Linked DNA regions of Oryctolagus cuniculus. The protein of the gene in region 1 purifies or fractionates together with the protein of each later gene. This does not show direct contact. Links are inferred from orthologs where the notes say so. Each region holds a gene or a part of one and is shown in the gene's direction. Other genes may lie near its edges.

Region 1 (4,944 bases):
GGTGCGTGCTGGGGTCTGCGCCGCGGGACAGAGGTTCGCACAGCCGGGGACGGTGGCGCTCGGGCGCGGGGGGGAGCGGGCACGCGTCCCGAGTTACGTGGGGGCTGCTTCCCGGGGGTGGGGGGCGCCGGCCCTTTGTCTCCAAGTCAACGGGACGCCCAGAAGCGAGAGCTCTCTCGGGGCGCAGCTCCAGCTTCGTGGTGTGTTTTTTTTTTTTTTTTTTCTAACAAGTGCGGCGCTGACACCGCAAGAAAAGTTTTTAAGTTATTATTTGGAGAGGCAGACGATAAGTGCAGAAGCTGAACACCGCCTCCGTGCGCGCGGGGCCGCTCCCCGCCTGCCTGCCCCGCGCGCCCAGGCGCCGCGCCTCACGCCCGGCGGCCCGGCTTGCACTTTTGCGCCCGTCCCTGGCCCGCGCCGGCCGCCGAGTTCCGCGCGGAGATCTGCCGGGTCCGCCTAGTAACAGCGCGGCGCGGCGATTGGCTCATGCTAATTCCAGCTTCCTGCGGGGCGCGGGGCGCGGGGCGGGCTCCCCGCGGGGCCGCGGGCGCCCAGGGCCCGCGTGGGCGCGCGCCGCCCGGGGCCCCGCGCCGCCAGCCTGCGCGCGCCCACCCGAGCCCCGCCGGGCTGCGCGCGGGGCCCCGCGCACGGCCGCATGCTCGCCCGCGCCGCCGCCGCGTTGCGATTTTATGAATGAAACGGCGGCCGGCGCGGCCCGCGCCCATCCCCCCGGGGCCACCCCGAAGTCCCGGGGCTTCTCCAGTTAAGGAAAGCGCTGTTAAAAATAAAGAAAAAAAGTTTTAAAAAAGTCAAGAATGGGCAAAGTGTCCATTTAGCTTTTTAAAAAACTCAAAGAGCCCAATGGACAGACTACGCTCACTGCGTGATGCATTCTGCCCTGCGGGACCGGGGCCACGCACGCCCGGTTTCTGCTTCAAAATAGCCCGACGCGTGACTCCTCGTGGCGCCGACTCCTCGCTGTCGCCCACGGAGGCGGCCCCAGGGTAAACTCCGAGCCCCCCCACCCCGGTCGCCCTGGGCCCCCAGAACCGATGCGGGCGCGCCCGGGGGTCGCACGTAGTCCCCGGCATCAGCGACTCCCGTGCCCAGCGATTTTTTTATTATTTTTTTAATTTAAAAAAACTGGGGGGTGGGGGGCGGTTAGCAGCACCCGCATCGTGGCTTGGCCGCCTCGCAGTGGCCGCACGTGTGCTGGGCGCGAGGTGTGCGGGGGGACCCCCGCGAGGCCGGGCGGGTGCGGACACGAGGCGGCCCCGGGCGCCAGGGGCGGGACGGAGGCAGCGCCGGCCACCATTTTGGGCGGCTGCCTGTATTTTAACTATCCGAGCGAACGCGTGAGGGGCCACAGTCCCCTTGCCGCGCGCGGGGCTCGCCCCACGGGCGTGGGCCCCGACCCCCCGCACCAGCGCCGCCCCGCGTCCCCGCCAGCGCGCGGGGCCCCGATTCTACACGTGTTCCTGAAAATGAAAGGGGATGCGAGCGCCTCCCGGGGGTGCCCTCGTGGCGCTGCCCCCTCCACGCGGGTGGCCGCCCGCCCCACCCCGCCGGTCTCGGGGGCCACCCCCGCCCCCGCCCTGCGCCCCGCTTCCCCGGCGGGCGGCGGGGTGCGATTTGCATGTCTATGAGCACTCGGCTCCGGGACGGCTCCCGGGCTCGGCCCCTCGCGCGCCCGCCCCCGCGCGCGCCCCGCCCCCCGCCCCCATTCTCTGCCCGGCTTTGATCTCCGCTGAACAGCGGTCGCGTCACTCGGGCTGCTGGGGAGTTTTGTGGAAGTTGCAAAGTCCCGGCGCCTGCACAGCGCTGTCGGCGCGGCAGCGGACGGGCGGCCGGAGCCCAGCGCGCACCCAGCACCCCGCCGCCGGGCCGGCCATGGAGCACCAGCTCCTGTGCTCCGAGGTGGAGGCCGTGCGCCGCGCCTACCCCGACGCCAACCTGCTCAACGACCGGGTGCTGCGCGCCATGCTCAAGGCGGAGGAGACCTGCGCGCCCTCCGTGTCCTACTTCAAGTGCGTGCAGAAGGAGATCCTGCCGTCCATGCGCAAGATCGTGGCCACCTGGATGCTGGAGGTGCCGGCCGCGCCGCTGCTACGGAATCCGTGTTTTCCGAATAAATAACCCCGAGAGCGGGCAACTTCCGACCCGGGCAGGGGCGCGTGGGGGCTGGGGCGGCCCGGAGCGCGCCCCTCTGCAGGCGCAGGGGGAGGGGCGGCGCCGGGGGCCACCGCGGCGGGTGCGGGGTGCAGCCCGGGCGCCCTGCGCGGGCCCGGGGGGAGGGGGCGCGGGTCGGATCTTTAGGTGAATGCCCACGGACACGTATGCAAGTGCCGCTCGTGCCAGTGTTACGCGCCATCTTTGCTCTTTTATTGCAAAGCTAACGCGTTTATTAATCATTGGGGGCGGGGAGCGGCCGGCGGGGCGCGGAGGGACCGCCGCGAGGGTCCGCACGGCCGCCCGGAGCCTGCGGGAGGGGCGCGGGGCCGCGGCGCGGGCCGCTCCGAGGGACCCGGCTCGGGAATCCGGGGAGCCCCTTTGTCCCCGCGGCGGGCGCCGGGACACCCCACATGGGCGGCGTGGGCCACGCGGCGCGCCGGGCTGCAAGGTCGCGTGGCCCCCGAGGCGCCGGGGGGCTCGGCTCCGGGGGTCGTCCCGGGGCGGGCCGGGGGCCTGGGGCGCGTGCTCAGGCCCGAGGGGCGCGCGGGCGTCTTTGAGCCGCTTCTCGCAGCTCGGCGCAGTGCCCTTGCGCCCGAGGCGAAGGGGGGGGTCCCCGAGTTTGAGTTCCTGGGGCTCCCCCCGGGGCCTGCCGCGGGCTCCCGGCCCCCGGCCCAGGTAGAGCACCGCCCGAGGGTCATTTTCAGGGGTCTTCTGCGCGCCCAGTTATTTTTTTAATATTTTTAAATATTTTTTGAAAAGATGACGTCTGGGGAAATGCGGCGCGGCGGCCTGGGACGCCACCTTTGTGTCTCGCGGGCGCGGGGCGAGCGCTGCGCCGGGCCACCGCGGCCCCAGGCCCCCGGCCCCCTGCCCGCCCCCAGCCCCCGAACCCCAGCGGGTGCCGGCCCCGGATACCCCGCGCGGGCCGGGGTCCTGGGGGTCGTGCGTCCGCGCCGGTCGCGCGGGGACTTTCCCTTTCAGTTTCGGGGTGGGTGGGCCCCAGGCACGCGCGTGGCGGCGAGCGCACCCCGGGAAGCCCTCGCCGGCCCCTGGCCCGGCGCCCTCGGGCACGGAGACCCTGGCGCGGGGCGCGGGCGGCGGTCACGGCCCCGCGTCTTCCCGCAGGTCTGCGAGGAGCAGAAGTGCGAGGAGGAGGTCTTCCCGCTGGCCATGAACTACCTGGACCGCTTCCTGTCGCTGGAGCCCCTGAAGAAGAGCCGCCTGCAGCTTCTGGGGGCCACCTGCATGTTCGTGGCCTCCAAGATGAAAGAGACCATCCCGCTGACCGCCGAAAAGCTGTGCATTTACACCGACAACTCCATCCGGCCGGACGAGCTGCTGGTACCCGGGGGGCGCCCTGCGGGCCGCGGGATCCCCGCTGGGCGGGCGCGGGGAGGAGAGGCGCGGGCGGCCGGGCCGGGGCCGGGGCCGGGGCTGGGGGCGGCCCTCGCCGGCGCCCGCCGCTCGCGGTCCGCGGCTCCCACCAAGTTTTCGCCCGGCAGCGGCGTGGCCGGGCAAGCGTGGGCGGCGCGCGCCCCCTAGCGGCGCGAGCCCGGACGGCCTTCGGGCTCCAGGTGGCGGAAGGTGGCCTTTTTTTGTCCTTGCCTGCACAAGGTCGCCTCGCGGTCGCCTCCTCCCGTCTGGATCAGGGACCGTGTGCGGGTTCCTCTCCCCCACCGCGCCCCGCATTCCCTGGGCGCGCCCCTCCCTGTTCCGCCCTCCTCCCCAGGGCCCCCCCCAACCCGCGGAGGGCAGACCCCTGCGCGTGCGGCTCCTGACGCGCGCTGCGCCTTTCGCCCGCTCCCGCAGCAAATGGAACTGCTCCTGGTGAACAAGCTCAAGTGGAACCTGGCCGCGATGACCCCCCACGACTTCATCGAGCACTTCCTCTCCAAAATGCCGGAAGCCGAAGAGAACAAGCAGATCATCCGCAAGCACGCGCAGACCTTCGTCGCCCTGTGCGCCACAGGTGGGGCGCCCCGGCCAGGGCCTCGCGCCCCACCACCGCGCGCCGCCCAGGGGAGGTGGCCCCGGGGTCTCCCCGCCTGCCTGCTCTCCCAGCCTGCCTGGGGGCGGGGGGGGGCCTCTTCCAGCGACGGCCCCCTGTGCTGCGCTGGGCGCGCCTGGCAGCCGTGACCACTGCGTGCCCAGCCGGCTCTGCCTCTGCGGCCGGGCTGCCCGCCCCCACCCACCTCCACCCCTCCCCGTGTCCTCAAGGAGCCTGGACTGCGGGGGCCCCTCCTGGCCTCTCCCGGGCTGGGCCACCTGCCAGGGGCGCCTACAAGGGCGGGGAGGGGAGAGCGGCCGGCAGCGCCTGCACCACGTGCTCGGGTGGCCAGTGGCAGGCGCGCAGCCCCAGTGCGGGGGCGGCCAGCAGAGGAGCTTGGCCGCCTGAGGCCCCGCTAGGGGCGCCTGGGGCCAGCCCAGCTGAGCCTGGGAGGGGCCTCTGGCCTGGCTGCTCTTGGCGCCTGGTGTGGCACTGCCCTGGCCCCAGACCCTGCACGCCTGCAGAAGCCTGGAGGGGTCAGCTGCGCCCCCATGCAACCCCCAGCCCCACTGCTGAGTGCCAGAGGCCTGGAGACAGTGGGGGGAGGGCACAGACGCATCGCCCACCTGCCTCACCCTCGCCGCGCGCTGGGCTCCACCTCCGGCTCTGGTCCGGCCTCCCTCATCACAGCTGTCTGGGCTCACACCTGCGGGCTAGGGGTCACCCCAGAAGACAGGGGGACGGAGCCCCCCACATCTGGCGTGTGCCTCCTCCCTGGGGGTCCA
Region 2 (5,161 bases), on another chromosome or scaffold:
TGGCTGCTGTTCTTGCATTTGGCTAACATATCTCAAAAAAAAAAATGTTTTGTTATTTAACTCTACAAATTCAATACGTATATGGAAAAAAATTTTCTTTCATAAATGCAATGTCATTTGACACTGGACAAAATGATCAAGCCCAGGCCATGTAAAATTCCAAGAATATTTACGAAAAAAAAAAAGTCTTCTCATGATTTTCAAAAGCAAGATCCAAGATGTTAGCACCATCTCCCAAGAGCCTCAGGTGTGTGGGTGAGTAGAATGTTTCCAGCATACATAAAGGAACATAGTGAAAGGAGAGGACTAAAACTGCAGCAGGAAAGAGGGAAGTCGGATTCAGGAGAACTTCCGAGAAGCAGTGAGCCCAGGGATGGAGAGAGGGAAAGCAAGTGGTCGGGATATGAGGGGCTTATTTCAGCACAGTAGAAAGCATTCTCACCCCATTTCTGGGGTGCTGGGGGAAGATCTGGAGTTATCTCTTGAGCATCATGCCACCAGACAAAGAAAAGTCATAAGATGCTCTGTTCTTTCTCGAACTCCAACCCCCCCTCCTCGGAGCAGCACGGGACATTCCAGACCCTCTCACCCTCCCTCTCTTGCTCCCGTCACGAGGTCCCAATCCCCCAGAGCCCTTGCATGTGATGTTCAGCTGAGACCCCTCTGCCAGAACAAAAGGTCTGGGCTGTGTTCACTCATCCCCATCCAAAAGGGGACGGTGGTGCCCATTGAGCCTTCTGATCCAACGCTACACTCTCTTACTTCCCACTTTAAATCCCCTACCCCAAAGTGTCTGAGACATTACCTACAAGAGTCCCCCCCCCACCAATTTCACCCCTTAGAGTCCTTGCTGCAGTTCACCACCCAAGGGGTGTCTGAATTTGTGCTGCAAAGACCCACTATCCTCTGTCCCTCCAAGGAGATGGATTATTTTCATACTCAATCCCAAATCTCCTTGGAGGGAGGGGGCTCAGGTACTCTCATGTCCTCACCAAACCAAATACATGGGAGAAGTATGAAGTGTTGCTGGCATCTCCCACCAGGAGGCGGGGAAACCAGAGAAGGTGTGCGTCCTCAAATTCACACCTGCTCCTGTCCTTGCACCCACACTCACCTTCTGCGCCCCCTGCAGCCAGCAGGACACTCATCCCAGCCAAGTGGAGAAGGCACCCTCTCAGCACCAGGTCCATCCTGTTCTTCTCTCCAGCAACCAAAGGCGCTGGGGGGCCGGCCCAAGCCCCTATATAAGAAAGGGGTGCACATTTGCATAGCCCTTCCTCTTTCTCTCCAGGGGAGGCCTGGGAGGGGCAGGAGGACTGGAGGGGGGGTGGGCAGAACCGGCTAGGGACCCCGGTCCCTGGCTGGACCTTCCTTCCCCACCCTGCTACACAAAGACAGTTTCTGGTTTCACTGGGTCTCTGTCATCTCTATCCTCCATCCCCTGGGGAAGAGTTGGCTGCAAAGCAGCTACAGAGCACACATGCGACACACACCATTCATCGTGGAAGAGCTAATGCACCGGTTCTATCAGACTAGGAACCCCGGCGTCCAAAAACAAAGGGAGACACTATCTGGGCAGGCTGAGGGGCGCGGGCAACGACACCTCCGAGGCCCAGAAATCCTCTACGGCGAGAATCCGAAGCTTCCTTGCTTTTCAAAGGAGTCTCCCTAGACCAGTTGGAATTTTTAATCCACACATTTTCCCAAGGGGCGAGGTGAAAATAGTGAGAGGTCAGAGAATCCCTACTACCGCCTGGAGACGGGACTACAGCCAGGTGCTTGGGAACAGGGGCTCAACCATGCCACGGAGACAGACACCAGTCTCCGCCCTTGGAACCAAACTTGCACGGGGCGGGGTCCTCGGCGGCGCGGAGAGCGGGCCAGGCCCCGCCCCTTCTTACGCCCGCCAATCGGAAGGGGAGGGGGCGGGGCCAGGGAAACGCGGGAAGGAGAGGCGGGGCCTCTGGTGGCGGTCGGGAACGGGGGGGGTGGAGGCGGCAACATTGTTTCAAGTTGGACAAATTGACAAGAGCGAGGGATACACAGCGTTCCATCGCGCCCTGGGGCCTCGGTGCTGGGTCCTGTTTCCCGCCCCTCCGCCCACGAGAGCCCGGGCCCGCTTTCTGCAGGGTTCCCAGGCCCCCCGGCTCCAGGGCCGGGCGGACCCGGCTCGCTGGCGCTTCATGGAGAACTTCCAAAAGGTGGAAAAGATCGGAGAGGGCACGTACGGAGTGGTGTACAAAGCCAAAAACAAGCTGACGGGAGAAGTGGTGGCGCTCAAGAAAATCCGCCTGGACACGTGAGTGGCCTCCGTAGCCGCGACCCTTAGCCGGGGCGCGCCGGGACGCCCCCCGCCCCCACCGCGCGCCCCCACAGGCGTGGAGCCGTCCAGGGACCGGAAGGTAGCAGGGTGGGCCGCCTTTTGAAGTGAGACAGCGTACGGAGTTTCGCCAGGGAGAGTGTAGGGTGGCGTAGAGTCTGTGGAAAGCCTCCTCCCGACACTCAGCCGGAGGTGTGGGGGGTGGATGCCCCCAAAATGTGCAACCAGAAAGACTCCGGGGGCAAGAAAGGAGGCCCCCGGGATTGGGGAGGGCGGGTGTCTAGGAGCCCCCTTGGCGCAGGGTTATGCGGGACCTAATGAGCACTTTTCAGAGTTACTAGCCCTCCGCGCTGCCTCAGCTCCACTCTCACTTTAGAATTCTCTCCCTCCAAAGAATGGCAGTTGAGCCCCACTGGCCCCTCTGGGGAGGCTGGGTGCCACTGCTACGTATTTTGTTCTGTCACCTCCCTGGCTCACCTTCACCAGGGAGGCTTTACTTATATAGCCCTGGGAAAGGAGGAACTAAGGATCTGAATGGATCTGAAAGCCACACCCTGACTACCCAGAAATTATCTTTACTTTTCTTAGGGGGGGCCTTTTGGGGCTGGGGGGATGGGAGCGGTATTTGTAACCATATTCGAGTCTGCTTTCTCAACCTTTCCAAGTGAGACTGAAGGTGTACCCAGCACTGCCATCCGGGAGATCTCTCTGCTTAAGGAGCTTAACCACCCCAATATTGTCAAGTAAGTGTGCGTCTGGGAGGTGATCACAGCAAAGGAGGTTGAACCTCTCTGTGGTCTGGGTGGTCTCTGCTGCCCTTCCACTTCCTGGGTCTTCCTTTCCCTAGGCTACTGGATGTCATCCACACCGAAAACAAACTTTACCTCGTTTTTGAATTCCTGCACCAAGATCTCAAGAAATTCATGGATGCCTCTGCTCTCACTGGCATTCCTCTTCCCCTCATCAAGGTGATCCTTCTGAGTGATTGTTATCTTGGCCTTCTGCAGAGCCCTCATCACCCTCCCCCACCAACCCCCACACTCCTAGTACTTTTTGTCTCTTTCCCTGCTCATTATACTCATTAACCCTAGGGCTGGGCTGGAGAATCAAAGTTGAAACTTAGTGACTCAACCCCGTGGCTCAGGTGGGAGGTCAGATGAAACTCAGATAAATGGGATTTGTGAGCTCTTGGTAGATCCCTTCAAAAAGCCCTTTTGTCTTTTTAGTGGGAGAAATAGTCAAGGAATCTCTGTTGTCTGTTGTAGAACTGGATTCTTCACTCCCAGAGTGACTTTCCATCTATCAACAAGTGTTTCTTTTTTTTTTTTTTTTAAAGATTTATTTATCTATCTGAAAGAGTTAGAGAAGGGGAGGGGGGGGTCTTCCATCCGATTTCCCACTCCCCAGTTGGCTGCAACGGCTGGAGCTGTGCCAATCCGAAGCCAGGAGCCAGGAGCTTCTTCCAGGTCTCCCACATGGGAGCAGGGGCCCAAGTCCTTGGGCCATCTTCTACTGCTTTCCCAGGCCATAACAGAGAGCTGGATTGGAAGAGGAGCAGCCGGGACTAGAACCGGTGCCCATATGGGATGCTGGTGCTTCAGGCCAGAGCGTTAACCCGCTGTGCCACCGTGCCAGCTCCGAGATTTATTTATTTATCTAAAAGAGTTACACAGAGAAGGAGAGGCAGAGACAGTAAGGTCTTCCATCCCCTGGTTTACTCCCCAGTTGACTGCAACGGCCAGAGCTGGGCCAATCTGAAGCCAGGAACCAGGAGCCGGGAGCTTCTTCCTGGTCTCCCATGTGGTTGCAGGGGCCCAAGGACTTGGGCCATCTTCTACTGCTTTCCCAGGCCATAGCAGAGTGCTGGATCGGAAGTGGTGCAGCTGGGACTCAAACTGGCATTCATACAGGATGCTGGCACTGCTGCAGCAGCTTTACCTGCTACGCCACAGCGCTGGCCCCCAACTAGTGTTTCTTGAATGCATGTGTATTAAACCTTCAACCTGTAGCTACAGGGCATGAAAGAGATACAAATCTGCTTAAGACCTGGTCCTGATCTTCCTGGGACTGGGAGTCCTACCAGCAAAAATAGCTTGTAACTACAAAATAACATAGTAAAGACTTTAGTGGAGCTCTGTGGGCAAAGAGCAAACTGATGTGCTTGTTGTGATTGAACAACAATCCCCTCTCTTCCCCCTGTCAGAGCTATCTGTTCCAGCTGCTCCAAGGCCTAGCGTTCTGCCATTCTCATCGGGTCCTGCACCGAGATCTAAAACCTCAGAATCTACTTATCAATGCAGAGGGCTCCATCAAGTTAGCCGACTTTGGACTAGCCAGAGCCTTTGGAGTGCCTGTTCGTACTTACACCCACGAGGTGAGTCCACAAACCCCTCCACCCCCCGCCTTGCTTTTCTTCTCTGAGCTCCCCAGGAGGGGTTAACAAGGGCATTCACAAAGTTACTAGAAATATTTGGCCAACAGTTTCTCTTACTATATGAAAAGAATCTCTGAGACCCTAAGGGGTCTTAGGGTATGCACACAGTTCCTTCTGTGGTGCTAACTGGGATTTTTCTTTTTAAAGGTTAATTCTACTTATTTGAAAGGTGGAGAGACAGAGAAAGAGAGATCTTGCACCTCTTGGTTCACTCCCCAAATGGACACAACAGCCAGAGCTGGGTCAGGCTCCTGCGTGGGTGGGCCATCATTCACTGCTTTTCTAGGCACATTAACAGACAGCTGGATCAGAAGTGGAGCAGCTAAGACTTGAACCAGCACTCCCATGTGAGATGCAGTTGTCGCTGGCAATGGGCTTTTCCTAAGCCAGGACAGCTGGATGGGACA
Region 3 (4,960 bases), about 180 Mb from region 1:
GTGTGTGTGTGTGTGTGTTTAAAGATTTATTCGAAAGAGTTACAGAGAGGTAGAGACAGAGAGAGAGGTATTCCATCTGCTGGTTCACTCCCCAGATGGCTGCAAGGGCTGGAGCTGTGCCAATCCGAAGCCAGGAGCCAGGAGCTTCTTCTGGGTCTTCCATAAGGGTGCAGGGGCCCAAGGACTTGGGTCATCCTTCACTGCTTTCCCAGGCCATAGCAGAGAGCTGGATTGGAAGAGGAGCAGCCAGGACTAGAACCGGTACCCAAATGGGATGCTGGCGCTTCAGGTCAGGGCTTTAACCTGCTGCACCACAGCGCCGCCCCCCCAAGTGTTTTAATTGGCATCACTTTATTTTAATTTATATTTTAAGATATTTTATTAAAAAGAGAAAGAGGGAGGGGGGAAATGGATGTCCCGTCCAGGGGTTCAATTGCCAAGTACTGGGAAACAGCAAGGGCTGGGCCAGGCTGAGGCCAGAGGCAGGAACTGCACTGGATCTCCCATGTGGTGCCAGGGACCCAAGTACTTCAGCTGTCTTCTCTGCCTCCAAAGGTGTCCGTTAGCCGGGAGCTGGAATCTGGAGCAGAGCCAGCACTGGCATCATTTTGCAAACTGAATGCTTTGCTGACCAAACAGCAACTGAAAGTCCAAGGCATTCTGGATCTGCTGGAGAAATCAACCAAGGATTGAAAAGTAACTGAAACAGAGCAGGGTTATCCGGCAGGCCCATTAAGCACGGGCTTAAGCTATCGGCAAGGTCTGAGCCACCTAGTTCAAAACATAAAACATATTTAAACTCATAAAAGTAATAATCATAGGGAAAAAAAACCTAACTGTATTTCCTTTCGCTTGCTATATATACCCTAGTTCTGTTTACCTTTTCATCAGATGAGAAGGTGGGGGAGGGTGTCCGGTAGGTTGAAGTCTCTCCTCCAGGGACTCCCTCCCCACTTCCCCCATGTGCCCACAGGCAGAACTCTGCCCCACTCGTGCCAAAGCCAGCCCTTCCACAGGACTTGGCCCTTGTACCAGCAAAACCCTCGCTCCCTACATCCGTTTCACCGGGGAGAGGGGGCGGGGCGGCGCGAGCTGGCCGACTCTGCAGATCGAGTGCTCAGGGCCCGACTTCAGGCAGCCTCGCTCGGCGTGGACGCCGCGCGCGCGAGCCCGGCGTTGAGAGGGGGAGCGGGCGGTGCGTCCTTTAAAAGAAGGAACACCTCTCTGGCCCTCCTCGGCGGCGAGGGGACGGCTTTGAGAGTCTTCTGATTTTAAAAGAGGAAGCAATACTGTGCCTGCGATACCAAACGCCCAGATTCGAGCGTGGCAGTTAGGAATCCCGCGCGGTTTTCTAACGCAGGGGCTGGGGGCGGGGCAGGGTATACTGGGAGGGGAGGAAACGCGGGAGAACAGCTCTCGCTCGGGGACCCGCGTGGCACCCACGGTGGGGAGGGGACAGGTGGGAAGGGGCCCGAGGCGCCCCCCTCCCACCGCCCGCTTCCGGCTCCGGGACGAGCCCCGCCGTGGGGCGACTTCAGGGGTGTCACGTTCCCGTGGCGTTCAAGCGAATGGCGCCTCCTCAGAGACACGTGAGCGGCGCCCCCTGCAATGGAAAGCCGCGGCGCTCCCGCGGGAGGAGTCAAGGACAGAGTCTGGGGGGCCTCTTCCGCCAGCCCCAGAGGAAGAAAGAGGAGGAGCGAGCGTAAGGTCCGAGGGTAGGGCAGCCTCTGACTCAGGACAGCTGCGGAGGAAGGGTGGCAGCGAGGGTCGGGCGGCACTGGAGCCGATGGAGCCCTCGGCGGACAGGCTGGCCACGGCCGCGGCGCGGGGCCGGGTGGAGGAGGTGCGGGCGCTGCTCGAGGCCGGAGTGCCGCCCGACGCTCCTAACCGCTATGGTCGGTCGGCGATCCAGGTAGGTGCGCGGATGGGCGGCCGGAGAAGCGGACAGCCGGGGGCTCTGGAGTGCGAGGTTTGCAGGGCTGCACTACCGGGGAGCGCTTCGATGCATCCGTCTTGGGGAGTTTTCCCGTGGAGCAAGGAATCAAAAACTTTCTCCTGGCGACCCCAGTGGGGTGGCGGGTCGGGAAGCCACCGAAGCAAAGAGCAGGCACGTGCGCTGTGGAGTTCTAGACTGCTGGGACGATCTGGCAAGGGGGAGCGATTTTATAAGATCTAACTCTATCAGGTGCAAAATTCACGAACGTTGGGGATGAAACGCGAGTTTCAAAGCCATGTATTTTTAATAATGATTTGCTGGGACTTCTCAGCCCCAAACTCAAAGGCCCCTGAATGGTGTTTATCCTCTTTCTCAATAAAGGGGGATTTCGGTGGAAATCGGATAAAATACCGATTGGAATTATTCAAAAGTAAATATATACGCTACTTATTTTAACTCTGACTGAGGTAATCTGTACTTACTATAAGAACTTGGGAAATGAAGACAAATATGGAGAGAAGCATTACTGTGATCTCGCTTGAGATAATGTATAGTTACCCTTTGGGGATATCTCCTATTATTCAGGGTATTTTTTGGTTTTTATGGCTTAACTTATTTGGGATTGTTGAGCAGTGTCATTTCTCCCCCTCTGCCCTCTGGTTTGGGCCGTACGTAGATTGTTTTGCTCTTTTGTCTACACCAACTTCCTAAATTTCAGTCTAAAACCAAATTCTTACTGGCAGTCACCACCCTAGTTTTATCCCTGGTGGTCAAAATGAGTTCTGATTCATAAAGAAAGAAAACTTTTATGAAACGAATGCGTGTTGCAAAAACTCCAGCACAACAAAGACAAAGGAAAGTAATTCTACATGGAATTTCACAAATGAGTTCTCCTTTCCTGAAATTATGCTACATAGGATAACTTTTATATATTTAAAATATAGATATAAAAATAAAACCAGAAATCTTTAAAACTTGAGATCATTTGGGATCTGAAGTATGGAGACATTTTGAAACTGAAAAGTTGGGTGGTTATTTAAGAATGTATGCATAATAATGTGTGCACCACTCATAATATCACATCTCTAAAATTTTGCCAGCAGCATGGAAACAATTTGGCTTTGTAGTTTTAGAAGAGACCTTATTTGATTAAATAAAAAAGGCAAATTTGGTTGGATGATTCTGAGTTTCTTAATAGGGAGGAGAAAGGGAAGATAATTTCGTTTAGAACCCTAACCAAATTTATGTTTAACACAGAAATACTTAGTTTATAGAAAAAATAAAGAAATAAATTCAAGTAAATTTCTTATTAAATTTATTTAATCACCCTCCAAATATTCATTTAATTAATTCATTCTTTTTGCTTTTAATTGCTACTATGGTTTGAATATTTAAATGTGTGCCACTTTTCAATTTTTTTTCATGCAACAAAACATTAAAAAAAGGTTTAAGACCAGCTTCATGACCAAAATGAAGGACTTTATAATATACCCAAACAGTGCAGTGCACTGTTTTTTCTTTCTTTCTGTTACTGTAATTTAGTTCACTTACATTTTCTTCTGGTCATTTTGAAAACTAAATCAGTTTCACTTTCTTCAAGGCAGGATTCAACAGCTACAGTATAATTTATTATGTCTCCTTGATTTACACGAATTAAGTAATTCATGTTTAATGGACAGAACATGACTAGAAATAAGTAATTCCTCTTTACACAGTCACTATCTTTGGGTTAATATAACCAAACAGTGGTTATCCTGAAAGAATTCTCTCTCTCCCACCTCTCCATTCAACAGTCAAATTGTAAAGCTGCTGTGATTTTGGACACCATTGTAAAATTACTCTTTGGGAATGGCTTTGTTTCAAAGATGATTTAGGAATCAGAGGTGAGCATTTTCCATTTAATAAACTCTCCAATCATAAGCTTAGAAGTGTTTTTCCTCTCTTCCTCTCTGTCCCATATTGAACTGCAGTTGGAAGAGCTGAGTCCAGTCTCAAAATGGAGGACTGTGATGTGCAGGAAACAGAGCATTTGAGGAAACTGTGGATGGGTGGGTGTCCTGATCTTTTTGAAACTACAGTTGATAGTTGGAGAAAACACTTTAAGAATAGGGGCACACTCACAGACTGTAAAGAGAGACCCTGAAACGAAACATTCCAGGGGCTTTGGTTTTGTGGCTTTCTCTTGTGTTGACGAGGTGGATGAAGCAGTGTGTGCTTGATCACACAAGGTTGCTGTACATGGAGTGGAACCAAAGAGAGCTGCTTCTAGAGAGGATTTGGTAAAGCCTGGTGTTCATTTAAGAGTGAGGGAGATTTTTGTGGGTGGTATTAATGAAGGTACAGAAGAATCTAATTTGAGGAATGTGCCAAGATTGAAACCGTAGACGTTTTGGAAGACAGGCAGAGTTGGGGAGGGGAGTGGAGAGGAATTGCTTTTTGTATCTCTTGAATGTCATGATAAGGCTGATAAAAATTGTTGCTCAGAAATAGCACACTATTAATGGGCATAGTTGTGAAGTGAAAATGGCCTCTTTTAAACAAGAGGTGCAGTCTGCCGCTGGATCACCAAGTGGCTGTGGACATGAATCTGACAACTTTATGGGTTGGGGAAGAACCTTTGGAGGTGGTGGAGATAATTTTGGCCATGGTGAGACTTTGTTGGAGGACGAGACTATGGTTGTGGAGGTGGCAGCGGCAGAGGAAGTTATAGAGGAGGTGACCATAGATATAATAGTTTTAGAGGTGATGGTAGCAACTAGGGCTATAGTCCTTGCTATGGTAGCAGAGGAGGCTATGATGGTAGTGGCCCAGGATATGGAAAGCAAGGTGGTGGATAGGGTGAAGGAGGAGGATATGATGGTTACAATGAAGGAGGAAATTTTGGAGGTTCTAACTATGGTGGTGGTGATTGCTACAATGATGTTCGAATTTAGAATGAACAACAGCAATCAAATTATGGACCCATGAAAGGGGGTGGTTCTTATGGTGGAAAGGTTATGGATTTGGTGGTTGAAGAGATGGATA
Region 4 (4,920 bases), on another chromosome or scaffold:
TTCGTGCCCCGGGGGTCTCGGGGTCTCTCCCGGTCCTCCAGCGCCCTCGCGCGCTCCCAAATGCTTCCCCGTGCCCACCCCGGGGCGCGCCCCTGCCGCTCCCAACTTCTCCCAACTCAACTTTCCCCCGCGTCGCGGGCAGGCCAGCCCCCAGCGTGCGCGCCCCCCGGCGCACCGTGCGCGGCCCCGCCGCGGCCAGTGGGGAGGCGGAGAGCGGGGGCCGAGGCCAGGGGGTGGGGGCGCGCTTCCAGGCACAACCCGGCACCAGGAGCCGGGCCCCGGAGGCCGCCCCCGCGGGGGGTCTCTCGGCCTGGCCAGGCGAGGCCGCCGCCCAGGCCTTCCCTGCGCGGGGCTCTGGCGCCCGGGGACGCCGTCTCTTGCTCCATGACGGCACTTCTGGGCGGAGAAGAGCCTGCTTTTCGCTGGAGATCCCAGCCGGCACAGGACGGCCGGGAAAGCCAGGCAGTTTCGATACAAACGCAGCAGGGCCAAGACTCTCTTGCGCCCACCTGCACGCAACCCCCCAGGCCTCCAAGAGAAGCCCCCCTGTCTTTGCACGGGGCACGAGGTGATGGCGGCTGGAGGTTGGCTGTCCCTTACCCCGAGTTGACCTAGGACCGGTCACTTTCAGGGACACAAACGCCTCGCGGCGGCCCCCTCCTCGTCCTTGCTACCTCCCACCCTGAATCGAGTCCTGTTCTTTTAAAGAACTTGTGTGCCATCTTGTTTTCTCAATTAAAAATGCGTTTAGGTAAGGATTATATACTTTTTTGTTTTTTTAGTCTGCCACGTGGGTGAAGCACAGCATTGTGTATGCGAAAGCATTCTGATATAAAGGAATTAATCCACAAATTGTCAGCACCAGTTCTGGTTCCTGGCTGCGGAGTGCTATTTGGGGCTGTTTTCGTCCAGTTCACAGCCCGGAAGAATGCAATCATGAGACAATTAGAGAGCAGCACAGGAAAATCTATAATCAACTGCCGTAAGGGATGAGGTAAAGGCTGCTGTAAGTGTAGCATCTGTCTGTGGTCTTGTCTGTAGAGGGGGTAACCAACCTGTCAGCCCTCGTGGGCCACACCCTTACTGCCTCCAGTGGGCTCTGCTCGGAAGACTGGGATCTGGGGGGACTCCCAGGGCTCCAGCCGGCTCGCCTCATCATGGGCTCCGAGACGACAGATGAGGTCCAGCAGAGGGAGAAGTCACCCTTCCAATCCAGCCAGAAATGGCAAACACCTGCCTCTACCCAGCCCTGGGGTCAGCTGGTCCCTGTGAGGTCATCGTTCCTATTCCCCAATCAACCTTGAGGTCACTGGGAGGCCTGGGGCGAGGTGGAAACCCGCGCTGAGGTCGCTCGGAACTCATCATCACCAACCAGGTCAGAGCTGAGCCACTAGGTCCCGGATCTGGGCCGCCAGACCTCAACCCGAGGGCGCCCTACCCCCACCCCGCCGCATTCTGGAACGCGTAGTCCCAGAGCGACCCTTTTCAAGAAGGCACACAGAAAAGGAGTAACAAGAGCGGGGCACACTGGGAACCGTGGCGTCACGGTGGGGACGCCCAAGGAGCGGACGCGTGATGCTTTCTGGGACTTGGAGTCCAGGGTTTGCCTCCGCGGTCGAACCGGAGTCCCGGGAGTCGAGTGCTGCAGAGGACCTTAGCGCAGCCTGCTGGGGGCTGTAGTCCTCTTGCCCGAGTCTCCGGACACCGCTGGGAAACCTGGCCGTCCTAGGACTACAAGCCCCAGAAGGCCATGCGCAGACAGGAGGCGGGGCGGGGCCGGAGGCTGGGGTGCCGCCTCCTCTGCAACGCCGGGGCCGGAGTCTTAGAACCCAGGGCCCGCAGGGGTCCCCGCGGCTGCCGTGATGCAGAAATACGAGAAGCTGGAGAAGATTGGGGAAGGTAATAGAACCACGAGATGTTCCTGCAAGATCTTCTTCTGCAGACCCTTCGGGATTCCTTGCAGCCTAGGCTCTCCCGTAGTCTGCGGTACCTGCAGGCTCCGACCTCAGCACTGGCTTGCAGCCCTGGCCCCCAAGCTCAGCACTCCGTGCAGACACCAGCCCTGCCCGTGTTAGCATTCTCCGCGGACTCCCACTCCCAACGTTAGCCTCCCTGTGGAGCCGACCTCCCAGCCGCGGCACGTCCTGCGTTTCCCACGCCTAGCTTCAGCACCACTTGCACATCCTCACCCGGACCCCAGCAGATCTTCAGCCTTGACATTTCTGCAGGCCCTCAGTTCTCTCCCAGAGTCCTGCTATGGCCAGACCTCCCGGAGTGCCGCCCTTATTAGCGCTGTCCTTACCCTGGCCTCCGGCTCAGACCCTGGAGCCTCAACCTTTAGGCCTTCCCTACCCTGCAGCGTCCTCACTTACAAAGCTCTTGCAAGCCTGCCCCTCACCCTGAAGCCTTTCCCTTACACACTCAAGTGCCCTTCCCCCTCCCCATTTCCTGGGGATGGGGAGGGTGCCGCATCCTCCCCCTCATCTATGACCTCCTCCCCTTAGGCACTTACGGAACAGTGTTCAAGGCCAAAAACCGAGAGACTCACGAAATCGTGGCTCTGAAACGCGTGAGGCTGGATGACGATGACGAGGTAGGACCGGGGACACCAGGGCAGGGAGTGGCAGATGAGGAGGCCTGGGGTGAGTGGGATCTGACTGCTGCTCCCTCGCTGTGCAGGGTGTGCCGAGTTCAGCCCTCCGGGAGATCTGCCTGCTTAAGGAGCTGAAGCACAAGAACATTGTCAGGTGTGGAGGGGGCAGGGGGCCCTGCAGGTGGAGGAGGAGGGGGCTTCAGCCTGGTTGGGGTGGTGCAGACGTGCAGACCTGCCTGGCTCAGCCCTTGCTTCTCCGTAGGCTTCACGATGTCCTGCATAGTGACAAGAAGCTGACTTTGGTTTTTGAGTTCTGTGACCAGGTGAAAGGGGATGGGGGTGGGCTGAAAGGGAGCAGGCTTGGGAGGGTGTGGGGCCCAGACGGAGGTTCACCTCTGTCCTGTTCCCCCGCTGCATCCCTTGACAGGACCTCAAGAAGTATTTTGACAGCTGCAATGGTGACCTCGATCCTGAGATTGTGAAGGTGAGGGGAAGGGTGTTCTGGGGGCTCTTCGGGGCTGGGGTTCCGGTCTGTATGCAGTGTCAGCTCTCCTGTTTAGGCACAAATCAGGGACTTTCTGGGGGGGGGGTGTCAGAGAAAGAGCAAACCTGCTCCTGCCCTCCAGGGGCCTCCGGGCTTAGCCAGCATTTCCACATGGCCTCCTTGGACCTGTATAGTGACACTCTGAGGCCAACGGCTATTTCCACCCAAAGAGCTACACTCATTTAATCAACAAACATTTGCTGAGAGTACTAGGCCCGAGACCAAGTGCCTTGGCCCAGGTTCCAGGGGAGTCAGGTCCTGAACCATCCCAGAGCACAATATCCATGTTGATGGTGACAGACTGTACACTCAGGTCCAGCCAGGTAGGGGAGAGAGGCATGGGCTGGGAAGGCAGAAGGCCTATCGGGCTATAAGGTCTGGAAGGGCAGGGAGCAGAGCCACTTGTTTCCTGCTGTACGGGCTGCAAAGCCAACCCTCGGCAGTGAGTGCATATAGTGTTGTCCTGAGCTTGGTGCTGGGGATTGGGTAGGACATGGAACAAAGCTGAGGGTGAGGCAGGGAGCATGCCCATGGCTGGCATCACCTCGTAGCCAGGGTGTCTGACTCTGTCCCCTCTGCCCCTCTCTAGTCATTCCTCTTCCAGCTGCTGAAAGGCCTGGGATTCTGTCACAGCCGCAACGTGCTGCACAGAGACCTAAAGCCCCAGAACCTGCTCATAAACAGGGTACTGCTCAGGGGAGAAGGGGAGGGCAGGGGGCAGGAGCCTGCCCTGAGACGTTTAACAGCCCCGTGCCGTGCCTCCCTCCCGTCTCCCCCCAGAATGGGGAACTGAAATTGGCCGATTTCGGCTTGGCTCGAGCCTTTGGGATTCCTGTCCGCTGTTACTCAGCTGAGGTGAGCTGGGGGGTGGGATTTGGAGTTGAGGGGAGCAGTCCCTGGTGTTTTTCAGCTCCTGCTCCATGACCAACCCGAGACAGTGCCCTCTCTTCTCTGAGCTCCCCTCTCCACCCTCCGTCCCAGCCCTCTAAACGGGAGGGCGTCCCTGTGGGTGGGGTCTTCTCCAGGTGGTCACGCTGTGGTACCGCCCACCGGATGTCCTCTTTGGGGCCAAGCTGTACTCCACGTCCATCGACATGTGGTCAGCCGGCTGCATCTTCGCAGGTGACGTGCTGGGGCGGCTCTGCTCTTTCTCCCCAATCTGGGTTGACAAACAGGGTCTGGAGGGTGCCCTCTCGGGGAAGGGAGTAGGGCCCTCGGGTCCGGGAATGGCAGGTGCAGGGGTGCCTCGGAGTGAGGAGTGCGCGGTGCGTCACGGCTGTGCCCCTCTCACAGAGCTGGCCAATGCCGGCCGGCCCCTCTTCCCTGGCAACGATGTGGATGACCAGCTGAAGAGGATCTTCCGATATCCTTTCGCTGCCCCCAGGGCCCTGAGCCCTGGGCCCGCTGGAAGCGGGTGAGGCCGTGGACCGACAGCACAGGTGTGAGGGTGGCGGTGGCCTTGCCGGGATGGCGGGGTCTGCAGGCTTCTCCTGAGGGTGAGAGGCAGGCAGCTGGCACACGCTGTGCAGAGGTGCGGCCTGCAGGCACAAGGGCACGCTGGGGTGTGCTTCCGGACAAGTTCTTAGGCCAAAGCAGGGGGGTTTTGTGGAAGAAAGGGAAGAACACTGGCTCATTGGGACCCCAGACAGCAGCATTTGGGTTAGTGCTTGCGATGCTCCTGGCCCATCTCGGTGCTGTGCATGTGGCACTGAATATGCCAGCCACGTGCTCGGGACCTTCTTCCGTCACGAGCCAGGGGGACAGAGTAATGGGGGGCTGAGGG
Region 5 (4,886 bases), on another chromosome or scaffold:
GGGCGTCGTCTGGCTCGGAGCCCCTGGACGTGCGGCAGCGATAGCCCTTCTTCTTGAGCACGTGGCAGATCATGAAGCCCACAAGGCCCATGAGAAAGAAAACCAGCACAAGCAGGAAGAGCATGTACAGCCCATGTTGGGGCGGCTCCAGGTCAGGCTGTGGTTCCGACATGAGGCCCTGGGGGGCGAGCGCGGGCCAGGGCGCCTCCTGGGTTTAGGGGGCTGCCGCTGGAGAGTGGGGAGAGGTAGGCATGCCATTTTCAGGATCCGAAACAGGCATGCCCCAGTGGACCCTCCGGTCCCACCACCCGGCTACCCAACCAGGGAGCTGTCCCGGCCAGCGGTGCTGGTCTGCCAAGACCGCCCGTGGCAGGAGGCCCGACGGCGGCTGGGCAAGCCCTCTTCCACGACCCTGGTCCCAGACCGTTCCCCTTCCCAGCTCGTCCCGCGCTCCCGTCCCTGCCAAGGACACTGCAGCGCCAGACGGGACAGCATTCTCCAGGCGGCGGGCGCTCTGATCGCGCCTGAGTCAGCGTCCGCACCTCCCTCCGCGCCGGCCTGAGCCAGGCCTCTGCAGCCCCCTCCCCTCCCTGTACTCCCGGACCCCTCCCTTCCCTTCTCGGTTCCTCCCACCCTGGCCACCTGGCCCACCCGGTACCGGTGGTTTGGTTCTGGTTCCGACTCCGGCTCGGGTTCCGGCTCCAGGGGCGTTCTAGTCCGGCTCAAGGCCCCCGACGCCCTCCCGGCGCTCATCCCTTGGTTCCTCCCCCTCCCCCCTTCGCCGCCTCACCGGCTCCCGGCTGTGGCTGCGGATACCGGGGCCGCGGCAGGCGGGGGGAGGGAAGGATGGCGCGGGCTGCGGGCTGCTTGGCCGCGGCGGCAGGCTCTGGACAACTCCGGCCCTGGGGAAGCGAGGCGATGGGGGAGCCCCCCGCAGCCGCCCTGGGTTCCCAAATGCCGTCGCCCGTTGCCGGCCCGGGATCAAGGGGCGGAGCGCAGGTGTGCGGGGCTCAGAGCGTGAGCTCGGCGCGCGTGTGAGCGCAAGTGGGATGCGCGCGTGACTGCGCTGGGCCCCCCCCGGGGGGAATGTGCGGCGCCGAGTCTGGGTCCAGGTAGGGGACAGGAGGTTCGGCGGGGGTGCTCTTCTCTTGGTCTATCCCGCACGCCTGGCGCAGCTCCTGCCCTCAGATGCCCTGGCTGAGAGGATGGCCGGGATCTTCCCAGGGAGCTGGGGGAAGCTGGCTTTCTGCCCCTGAGAGGGGCGGCGTGCCCGGATCTTCAGCGCTTCCTAGAGCGGTGACTACTGCCTGCCCTGGGTTTGGGACAAGTGGCGGGACGGAATGGCCTGGCTTCCCGAGGATCTGGCCTCCGCCCGCAAGGCAATGTTCCTGGCATCCTAGGACGGATGCTACCCGTCCCCCGCCCAAGCCAGGATGCTAAAGCCCCAGAACCTAATAGGACACAGCCAGGCGAGTGGCCCAACTCCCGCAAGGGGCGTGGCCTGGGCGGGCGGGGCGGGGCGGGGCGGAGCGGGCCCGCCCCCGTTCCGCAGGGGCAGGCTGCGTGCTTGCGCAGCACGCACGGCGGGGGTGGGGCTGGCGGCGGAGGCGCGGGGCCTGCTCCGGCCGGCACCATGGCCAAGACCGTGGCCTATTTCTACGACCCCGACGTGGGCAACTTCCACTACGGTGAGGAAAAAGGGTTATGAGCGAGGGGTGGGGACGCAGAGGTTTCGAGTTGGGGGCTGCATCTCCAGGGGTGGGAACTGACAGACTCCGTTCTCCCGCACCCCCAGGGGCTGGGCACCCTATGAAGCCTCATCGCCTGGCATTGACCCATAGCTTGGTCCTGCACTACGGCCTCTATAAGAAGATGATCGTGAGTCTCGCAGCCTCCGGGGATTGGGGGCGAGGGCCAGCTGCGGCTTTAGGGCTAGGTGGGCTGGGCTGACTGCACCAGGGGCAAGCCGCTCCTAGAGTAGTGGGTGGCCGAATGGAAGACCCCAGAGGCACCCCTTTACATGCAGGGTGTCGAGGAGGCTTCCCCTGATTTAATGGGAGTAACTTTTCCACCTCAGGTCTGCCGCCCTTTGCCCTGCAGCAGACCAACCCTTGTCCTAGGATTAGGGTGGTGCGGGCCTGGCTTAAAGGCAGGCTTTTTCCTCCCCCTGCATTATAGGCTGTGGACAGAGCTGTGGCATTGGGTATGGGGGGGCGCTGGATCACTGTTTCTGAGTGTGAGGTTTACCCCACAGTGCCTATCGCTGCTCTTCCATGTCTCTGCCTCCGAGGAGCTAGAGCTCCAGAGAGAACTCTGCACCACGCTGAGTATGAATGTGTGGGTGTGGAAGAGAGCAGATGTCCTGGGAGTTCCCTTTACAACCCAGAATACCTCTACATGCTTCTGCTCAATAACTGCCCAATCTTCTGTCTCCCAGGCTGTGGGTCCCCAGCATGGAATTGATCGCTGTGAATAATATGGGATAGTAAACACTTAAGCCCAACCCTTGCTTGTGAGGGGACTTCGTCAGCAGCATGGATGAATGTCCATTGCTAGTGCTGAGGCACAGACAAGTGGATGGGTCATAGACAAGACGGGGGCGATGTTAGTGCAGGAGCCTGGGGGTCCCTGGAGATTGTGTGCTTGGATGCACCTGTGCATATCTTTTTCCTTGCCCAGTTTTCAAAGAGGTGTGTGAACTCCAACCCCTAAGATGATAGGTACATGTTTGATTTAGCACCTTCCATTTTAGTTAGCAGGTTGTCATACAGACTGTATATTTGACTCCAGAAACCAGATGAGAGAGACTAGAATCAGGCAGGGGAGGGAGATGAGTATGGAGGGAACCAGGAATAGGAGATCTAGGGAACAGGGCAGGGAGATCAGCGCTCGAGATTAAGAAGGAAGGAGCCGTTGGACTGGAAGTGGGAGGGAGAGGGAGAGGAAGCAACCTTTGGGATCTTGATCAGCATAACCCACCTGGCTAGTTGGAGCTTTTTTCTTCACTGACCTTTTCTCATAGAATAACAAGGATGGCGGAGTGGGGGCATTGCTGTGTGGGTTGGGACAGTCTCCAGGACTGGGTTCGGTGAGGGCTGGTCTCAGCTCCGTGAGTGAGCCTGGCCCTGCCTGAATTTGTCTTGTGTCTCCATCCCGAGGTCTTCAAGCCGTACCAGGCCTCCCAGCATGACATGTGCCGCTTCCACTCTGAGGACTACATCGACTTCCTTCAGAGAGTCAGCCCCACCAATATGCAAGGCTTCACCAAGAGCCTTAATGCCTTCAACGTGGGCGATGACTGGTGAGTGAAGGCTGGACTTTGGATGTCATCAGGTTCGTTGGTACCAGGCCCTTCGGTGAGGTCTTGGCAGCAGTGGGAAGATAGGAGGGGGGGCTACTTGTCATTGAGTCACTGTTCACTTGTTTATTCAGTAAATATTTAGTGATCATTTGCTCTAGGCCAGGGCGTGTGCTGTGAACACCAACAATATTGTAATATTAATATTAATAATTCCTAAATATCAGTTATGCAAACAGTATTCAGATTTCCTCATTCATCTCATTTTTTTTTTTTAAGATTTATTTTATTTATTTGAAAGGCAGAGAGAGAGCGAGCGAGTGTGGGAGAGTATGAGAGATCTGCGGGTTCATTCTCTAAATGACTGCAACAGCTGGAGCTGGGGCAGGCTAAAGCCAGGAGTCTAGAACTACATTTGGGTCTCTCATGTCGATGCCCAGTATGTGGGCCATCTACCACTGCCTTCCGAGGTGCATCAGCAGGGAGCTGGATTGGAAGTAGAGCAGCCGGGACTTGAACTGGTGCTCCTATGAGATGCCGTGCATCATAGATAGGTGATGGGGTAACCTGCTGCACCACAATGCCAGTCCCTCTTTTTTTTTTTTTTTTTGCAGTAAATTTTTTTTTAAATCACGATCTAAATCAAGTCAGCATTATATTTGGTTGACGTGTCTCTTAAGACTTTCAATCTATGGCTTCCCCCTCTTCTCCGTGAATTTATTTTGATGGAAGACCTCTCTCTCTCTCTCTGCCTTTCCTCTCTCTGTGTAACTCTGACTTTCAAATAAATAAATAAATCTTAAAAAAAAAAAAGATTTTCAACCTATGGCTTGCCTTCTCCTTGAATTTATTTCTTGCCCGATGTTTCTTATGATAGCTAGCATTTGTTGAGTGCTTATTCTGCTAAGTATTAACCTGAGGGTTGCTGTGCAGTCTCCTAATTCTTACGTCAACGCTGAGATGTCTTTTCTCTGCTTTGTACATAAGTAAATGGAAATTTGAGAAGATTCGGAAGCTTAACCTGAGTCACACGGCTGGTCAGTGGAGGTGACAGGATTCCGATCCAGAGCCCAGGGTTTTGAGTCATTGTTGTGTTTCCCTGAAAGAGCCTACCGACAGAAGCAGCCGGGGCAGCAGGGCAGAGGCCGACTCCTTAAGCTGGCCTTGAGCACTCTCCTGACCTCCCCACACCTCGCCAGCAAGGAACGTCCTTCCCGAAAGCCCTTGCTTTTTTGCACAGCCTCGCCAGAGCCTTCCTGCCCCTTCCCACCCTTCACAGCACCTCCATGCCAGCCTGCAGGGCCCGGTCCTGCACACACCACGCTGTTCCTGTGAGGTTCGGTCACATGCTCTCTTGGGAGGTGTCTTGTTTTTTGTTGTTGTTCCTGCTGCTATTCTGAGTTCAGTTTTAGGTCTGGGAATGCAGAGTCAGGCTTTGGGCCACAGCTGGGGCCCTGTAGATGCTCTTTGTGCAGTGAGGAAACCTTACCCCTGGACCGTTTGTGCTGCATCAGTCCTGTGGCCAGACTGAAGCTACACTGTGCTTGTTTGTGTTTCTTAGGACAGTCGGGCTTCCCTTTCTTCTCCC
Region 6 (4,170 bases), on another chromosome or scaffold:
AGCTTCCTGCTAATGCACAAATCTGGGAGACAGTAAGTGATGGCTCAAGGACTTGAGTCCCTACCACCAACATGAGCGAGCCAGATTTAATCCCCGACTCCTGGCTTCTGCCTGGCCCAGTCCAGCTATTGCTGGCATTTGCAGAGTAAACCAGTACATGAATAATTAATCGATCGCTCTCTGTCTCCCCATCTCTGTCACTCTGGCTTTCCAATAAATAAAACTTTTTTTTTTGAAACCCACAAAACAGAAGGTTTTCTGGTAAACAATAAAGGGAAAGTTGACCCATTTAGCCATTACCTTCATCTGTGGGAAGTCACAGACAAGGAAACCCCATTGAAAGAGATGGAGAAGACAGGTTAAGGAATTCGGAGATAAGTTGTCTGTGGAACACACAAGTCCCAGTAAGAGGAACCAAGGATATTACAGGAAAGCCATATAAAAAGTGGCTACATACACCTAACGATTCGTTTGACTAGGTTACTTAGAAGTGTACAGACCAAGAATTTTTCAACCCCTGCACAAATTAAGGATTCCATACTTTGGTGACAAGTTTATTTACAAACTAAGGATGCTTAACAGAGACTGACAAAAGACCCCCATTTCAGAGAGGGATTTTTCTTCTAAGAGAACCCGGTGTTCCTAGGGGAACCGTGTGGACTCTGGGGGTGGCCTTCTGCTCTGGCTGACCACTTCTGCCCCAAAGTGCTTCTACAATCTCTGCAATGTTTTGGTTTGGCGAAAACAGGAAACTGCCTCCATCCTAACTTCTGCCCAGACGACAGGCTAATTGGAAACCCTTCCTTACTCATTCAGTGGAATTAGGCATCTCGCAATCTCACTAGGTGTGAGGTAAGTCAATGCTTTCTGTTACTGGTGCTGCCAAATTTTGCTTAATATTCCAAACACCCAATCCTAAGATTATTCCTAAGGAGTGAGATTAACTACTACTGACGACACGTGAAAACAGTATTTTATAGTCACATCTCATGCCAAGCATGTCATCAAAACCTTCAATTCTGTTCTTGATGTGTGCTTACAAAGACTAAGGAAAAGCGAATCTTCGTCAAAATTTGCCCAAAGCGCGTCGGTTAAAGGGTTTGAGGAGGGGAGCCTGGTTGGGTGTATTTTAGAAAAAGACTTTTTAAGAAAGACATGCAGCCAGCCTGGCTCAGGCTTTCGGGCGCTCTTTCCGAAGGCGGGCAGGTGCACCGCGGGGAGAGCGAGGCGCGCACGTGTCGCGGGAGTCCGCGCGGATTTTCGGGACCACCTGCCCCCGCTGACTTTAAACGCCAGTCGGGGACACCGCTGCTGGTTGCGCTCCCGGTCCCCGGAGGCACGTGGCTGGGGGTAGTCGGGTTCCATGTCAGCTCTGGGGGAGTGTGTGCGCACGGGGAGGGGCAGGGGCGCGGGGAGCCCCTCTCCTCCCGCTGCTTCGCGCAGCGTCTCCAGAGGCCGGAGCCCCCCGCCGCCCCTCCAGCCCCCAGGTCAGCCCCGCTCGCGAGGTCCCGAGTGGCGGGAAGCCGGGTCTCCCTCGGAGGCGGCCCCCAGGCGAGGCGGGCTGTGAAACCTGGTGGAGGATCCGGTGCGCCCGGTGGGGGGCGGCTCGGGCGTTTGGGGGGGCCAGGGGCCACGAGACTGCAGGTAGAAACAACCCAAGCGAGCGGGGGGGACCCCGGCGGGCGGGAGGCGGCCGGGCCCCTCCCGCGCCTCAGGCTGGTGGGGCGATGGCGGCGACGGTTTCCCGGCTCCCCCGCCCCGGACGCCGATGGCGGTGCGTTCCGGCCCTCCCCCAACAGCGTCTCCCCCGCGGTCGCCGGAGCCGGTGAGGCCGGGAGGGCGGGGAGCCGCGCAGGGAAGGCGAGAGGGCGGAGGTTGCGTGGTGCAGGCGGCGGCGGCGGCGGCGGGAGGAGGAGGAGGGCCGGGCGGGCGGGCAGGCAGGGGAGGAGGAGGAGGAGGCGGGCGCCGTGTCGCACGCAGCTCCAGGCGGGGCAGCCCCGGTGGCTGAGGGACGCGGCCAGACCTTGGCGGGACGGGGGGGGTTTCACCGGGACCCAGCGACCCGGCGGAGACGTCGCGGGAGCCTTTCGGGCGTTTGGAAATGCGGGTGAGTGTCGGCGGCCCAACGGAGGCGGCGGCGCAGGCCCGGCCTCGAGCCGCGGTGTCGCAGTGACTGGGGCCGCGGCGGCCGAGCGCAGGCGGCGGGCGAGGCCTGAGCCGCCGACCCGCGGCCGGGCGGAATGGCGGCCGGGCCGGGGGCCCTCGCGGGGCGGAGGACGCCGGGGGCGGGCGAGGGGCGAGCGGGGCCCGCCCTGAGTCACCCCGGCTGGCTCGGGCCTGCCTGGCCGGGCCGGGCCGCGGCTCCGGGGCGGCCAGGCCCGGACTACGCACCGGGAAAAAGCCCGATTCATCGCGCCCGGAGGCGGCGGCCTGCGTGGCGCCGGGCTCGCCTCCCGGAGGCTGGGCCGGCGTCCGCGCCGCGCCTCGCCTCGCCTCGTGCGGCGACCCTCGCGGGACGGCCGCGCTTCGGCCCTCTCTCCCTCCCCCGCCTTCCGGCTCGCGCTTCTCCCTCGGGCGTCGCTGGCATGCTCTCCGGCGCGCCTCCGGAGCGGCCGAGCCGGTCTCCCTGGCTCTCGGGTGCCCCGCTCGCTTTGTTGCGGCCGTGCAGGGCGCTATTATTGGGTAATAGTCTCCCCTTTGCTCCGTTCTCTCGGGGGAGCGGGCCGGCGCAGACGGCGCAGGGATGCCCGGGCGGCGGCGGAACCGGACGGAGCCCCTCGGCGCCCGCCGAGCGCTCTCGACTCGGCCCCAGGCCCTGCGCCCTGGCCTCGGCGCGCCCCCGGCCCCGGCACGAGCGCGCGCCCCGAGCCGGGAGGGAGCCCCGGCCGCGGGGATTTGGGGTCCGCCAGGCACGCGGGTCGTGCGCTTCGGTGCCCAAGGCCCAGGTTAGCCCGAAAACTCCGGCTTTCCAATCACCTGTGTGGCGCTGTGCAGTGTAGACGTATGATTGAGAAAGAGAAATGCTTGGCGTTCCTTAAGATGAAGCCCCAAACTTGAGGGTGTCCCTTCTTGAGCTGGCTGTGCCAAAGACGATTCTCTTTGCTGATTGGGTCACTGTTGCTGCCTGCAGTTCGTAATAGGGGTTAGAGTAAGTGCGCAAATACTGAATTGCATTCAAGTTACTCAAGTATGTATTTACTCTGTGTAATTGTTCTTTGCTGCAGTAGCATTAAAATAGTCCAAAGTTATGAGTGGAGTAAAGGGTCACAGTGTTTTTGTAAATGCACTTAACAGATTGGAGAAGAGGAACTAAATTCATTCTTACTTTAAGCCAGGAGCTTCTAGCATGAGTTCCTGCCTTGCAGAAGTGTGTGCAGTTTAAAGTTTCGCAGTTAATTTTGGAGTGTCCCTCAAAATGGACCCGGCTTTCTGAAGTCCTGGAGCATTTATGTCACGTAGGATAATCTATGATGATCTGTTGAAAAAGTCGAACTAAGCATTTATTTTTATAAAAAGTTTGGGAATGAGGTTTTTCTTTGTATTAGAAAGATTTTTGCTTCAAAGTCCTGTGTGTTGCTTTCCATAGTAAGTTGAAATAGTTGCATCGCATTTCAAATTCCAAAGCACGCAAACACAAGACTTGCTTTAACTCTATTATGCCCATTTTTGGAGGTTTCAGGAGAGTGCTCATTAAGCTTGAAAGATGGCTGAATTGTCTGCTTTTAAAAAGAAAAAGTTAAGCTTTGTTTCCCTTGGTACCGTTTAAAATTTTTTTTTTCCAGAAAACAAACCAACTTGAGATACGCTAGGTTTTTCATCAGTGTATACAATCCACTCTGCCTGAGAGCTTTGTGCTCAGGTCCCTGTAGGCACGTCCTGTCCCCCAAGCCTGCCCCAGGCTATGTGGCATCAGAGGATCTCGGGACACACGCCTGAGCCCGACTGCTGGGTGTCCTTAGGGATCAGGGCTCGAGTACTCCTCTCCACTGATGGGGTATTCCTTTCTAACTCTAACTTAGTCTTGATCAGCAAAACAGCCTTATTTCCCTTACATTGCACGTGAACTCATTGAAGGCGGGGATGCTCCTTATTTATTTTTGAATCCTCATAGTAACTCAGAACTTGGTTGTGCTGGTACCTCAGTTACTGTTTTGAATGAATGAGTGACTT

Evidence for each region.
Region 2: the proteins of CCND1 (region 1) and CDK2 purify together in Homo sapiens (affinity purification with western blotting; 12 studies listed by BioGRID and IntAct, counting the BioPlex papers as one, with this or other methods). This does not show direct contact. The link is inferred for Oryctolagus cuniculus from reciprocal best matches to the Homo sapiens genes CCND1 and CDK2.
Region 3: the proteins of CCND1 (region 1) and cyclin-dependent kinase inhibitor 2A purify together in Homo sapiens (affinity purification with western blotting; 3 studies listed by BioGRID and IntAct, with this or other methods). This does not show direct contact. The link is inferred for Oryctolagus cuniculus from reciprocal best matches to the Homo sapiens genes CCND1 and CDKN2A.
Region 4: the proteins of CCND1 (region 1) and CDK5 purify together in Homo sapiens (co-immunoprecipitation; 4 studies listed by BioGRID and IntAct, counting the BioPlex papers as one, with this or other methods). This does not show direct contact. The link is inferred for Oryctolagus cuniculus from reciprocal best matches to the Homo sapiens genes CCND1 and CDK5.
Region 5: the proteins of CCND1 (region 1) and HDAC3 purify together in Homo sapiens (affinity purification with western blotting; 5 studies listed by BioGRID and IntAct, with this or other methods). This does not show direct contact. The link is inferred for Oryctolagus cuniculus from reciprocal best matches to the Homo sapiens genes CCND1 and HDAC3.
Region 6: the proteins of CCND1 (region 1) and CUL1 purify together in Homo sapiens (affinity purification with western blotting; 4 studies listed by BioGRID). This does not show direct contact. The link is inferred for Oryctolagus cuniculus from reciprocal best matches to the Homo sapiens genes CCND1 and CUL1.

The regions. Positions count from the first base shown.
Region 1 is NC_091432.1:3,246,706-3,251,649, reverse strand, and holds the start of CCND1 (G1/S-specific cyclin-D1), read left to right. Parts: upstream 1-1,742; 5' UTR 1,743-1,890; coding exon 1,891-2,088; intron 2,089-3,297; coding exon 3,298-3,513; intron 3,514-3,981; coding exon 3,982-4,141; intron 4,142-4,944. UniProt on the Homo sapiens protein: Regulatory component of the cyclin D1-CDK4 (DC) complex that phosphorylates and inhibits members of the retinoblastoma (RB) protein family including RB1 and regulates the cell-cycle during G(1)/S transition.
Region 2 is NC_091442.1:58,755,402-58,760,562, forward strand, and holds the start of CDK2 (cyclin-dependent kinase 2), read left to right. Parts: upstream 1-1,946; 5' UTR 1,947-2,183; coding exon 2,184-2,299; exon of another isoform or gene 2,300-2,402; intron 2,403-2,985; coding exon 2,986-3,063; intron 3,064-3,167; coding exon 3,168-3,288; intron 3,289-4,523; coding exon 4,524-4,694; intron 4,695-5,161. UniProt on the Homo sapiens protein: Serine/threonine-protein kinase involved in the control of the cell cycle; essential for meiosis, but dispensable for mitosis. Phosphorylates CABLES1, CTNNB1, CDK2AP2, ERCC6, NBN, USP37, p53/TP53, NPM1, CDK7, RB1, BRCA2, MYC, NPAT, EZH2.
Region 3 is NC_091432.1:185,037,669-185,042,628, reverse strand, and holds the start of cyclin-dependent kinase inhibitor 2A, read left to right. Parts: upstream 1-1,728; 5' UTR 1,729-1,786; coding exon 1,787-1,912; intron 1,913-4,960. UniProt on the Homo sapiens protein: Acts as a negative regulator of the proliferation of normal cells by interacting strongly with CDK4 and CDK6. This inhibits their ability to interact with cyclins D and to phosphorylate the retinoblastoma protein.
Region 4 is NC_091438.1:22,758,707-22,763,626, forward strand, and holds the start of CDK5 (cyclin-dependent kinase 5), read left to right. Parts: upstream 1-1,745; 5' UTR 1,746-1,862; coding exon 1,863-1,899; intron 1,900-2,504; coding exon 2,505-2,593; intron 2,594-2,679; coding exon 2,680-2,747; intron 2,748-2,855; coding exon 2,856-2,916; intron 2,917-3,020; coding exon 3,021-3,077; intron 3,078-3,726; coding exon 3,727-3,822; intron 3,823-3,917; coding exon 3,918-3,992; intron 3,993-4,162; coding exon 4,163-4,259; intron 4,260-4,430; coding exon 4,431-4,500; intron 4,501-4,920. UniProt on the Homo sapiens protein: Proline-directed serine/threonine-protein kinase essential for neuronal cell cycle arrest and differentiation and may be involved in apoptotic cell death in neuronal diseases by triggering abortive cell cycle re-entry. Interacts with D1 and D3-type G1 cyclins.
Region 5 is NC_091437.1:29,205,951-29,210,836, reverse strand, and holds the start of HDAC3 (histone deacetylase 3), read left to right. Parts: upstream 1-1,556; 5' UTR 1,557-1,633; coding exon 1,634-1,688; intron 1,689-1,795; coding exon 1,796-1,878; intron 1,879-3,158; coding exon 3,159-3,301; intron 3,302-4,886. Other genes in the region: RELL2 (RELT-like protein 2), read right to left, coding at 1-172. UniProt on the Homo sapiens protein: Histone deacetylase that catalyzes the deacetylation of lysine residues on the N-terminal part of the core histones (H2A, H2B, H3 and H4), and some other non-histone substrates.
Region 6 is NC_091434.1:174,882,088-174,886,257, reverse strand, and holds the start of CUL1 (cullin-1), read left to right. Parts: upstream 1-1,370; 5' UTR 1,371-1,487; intron 1,488-1,688; exon of another isoform or gene 1,689-1,825; intron 1,826-1,888; exon of another isoform or gene 1,889-2,107; intron 2,108-4,170. UniProt on the Homo sapiens protein: Core component of multiple cullin-RING-based SCF (SKP1-CUL1-F-box protein) E3 ubiquitin-protein ligase complexes, which mediate the ubiquitination of proteins involved in cell cycle progression, signal transduction and transcription.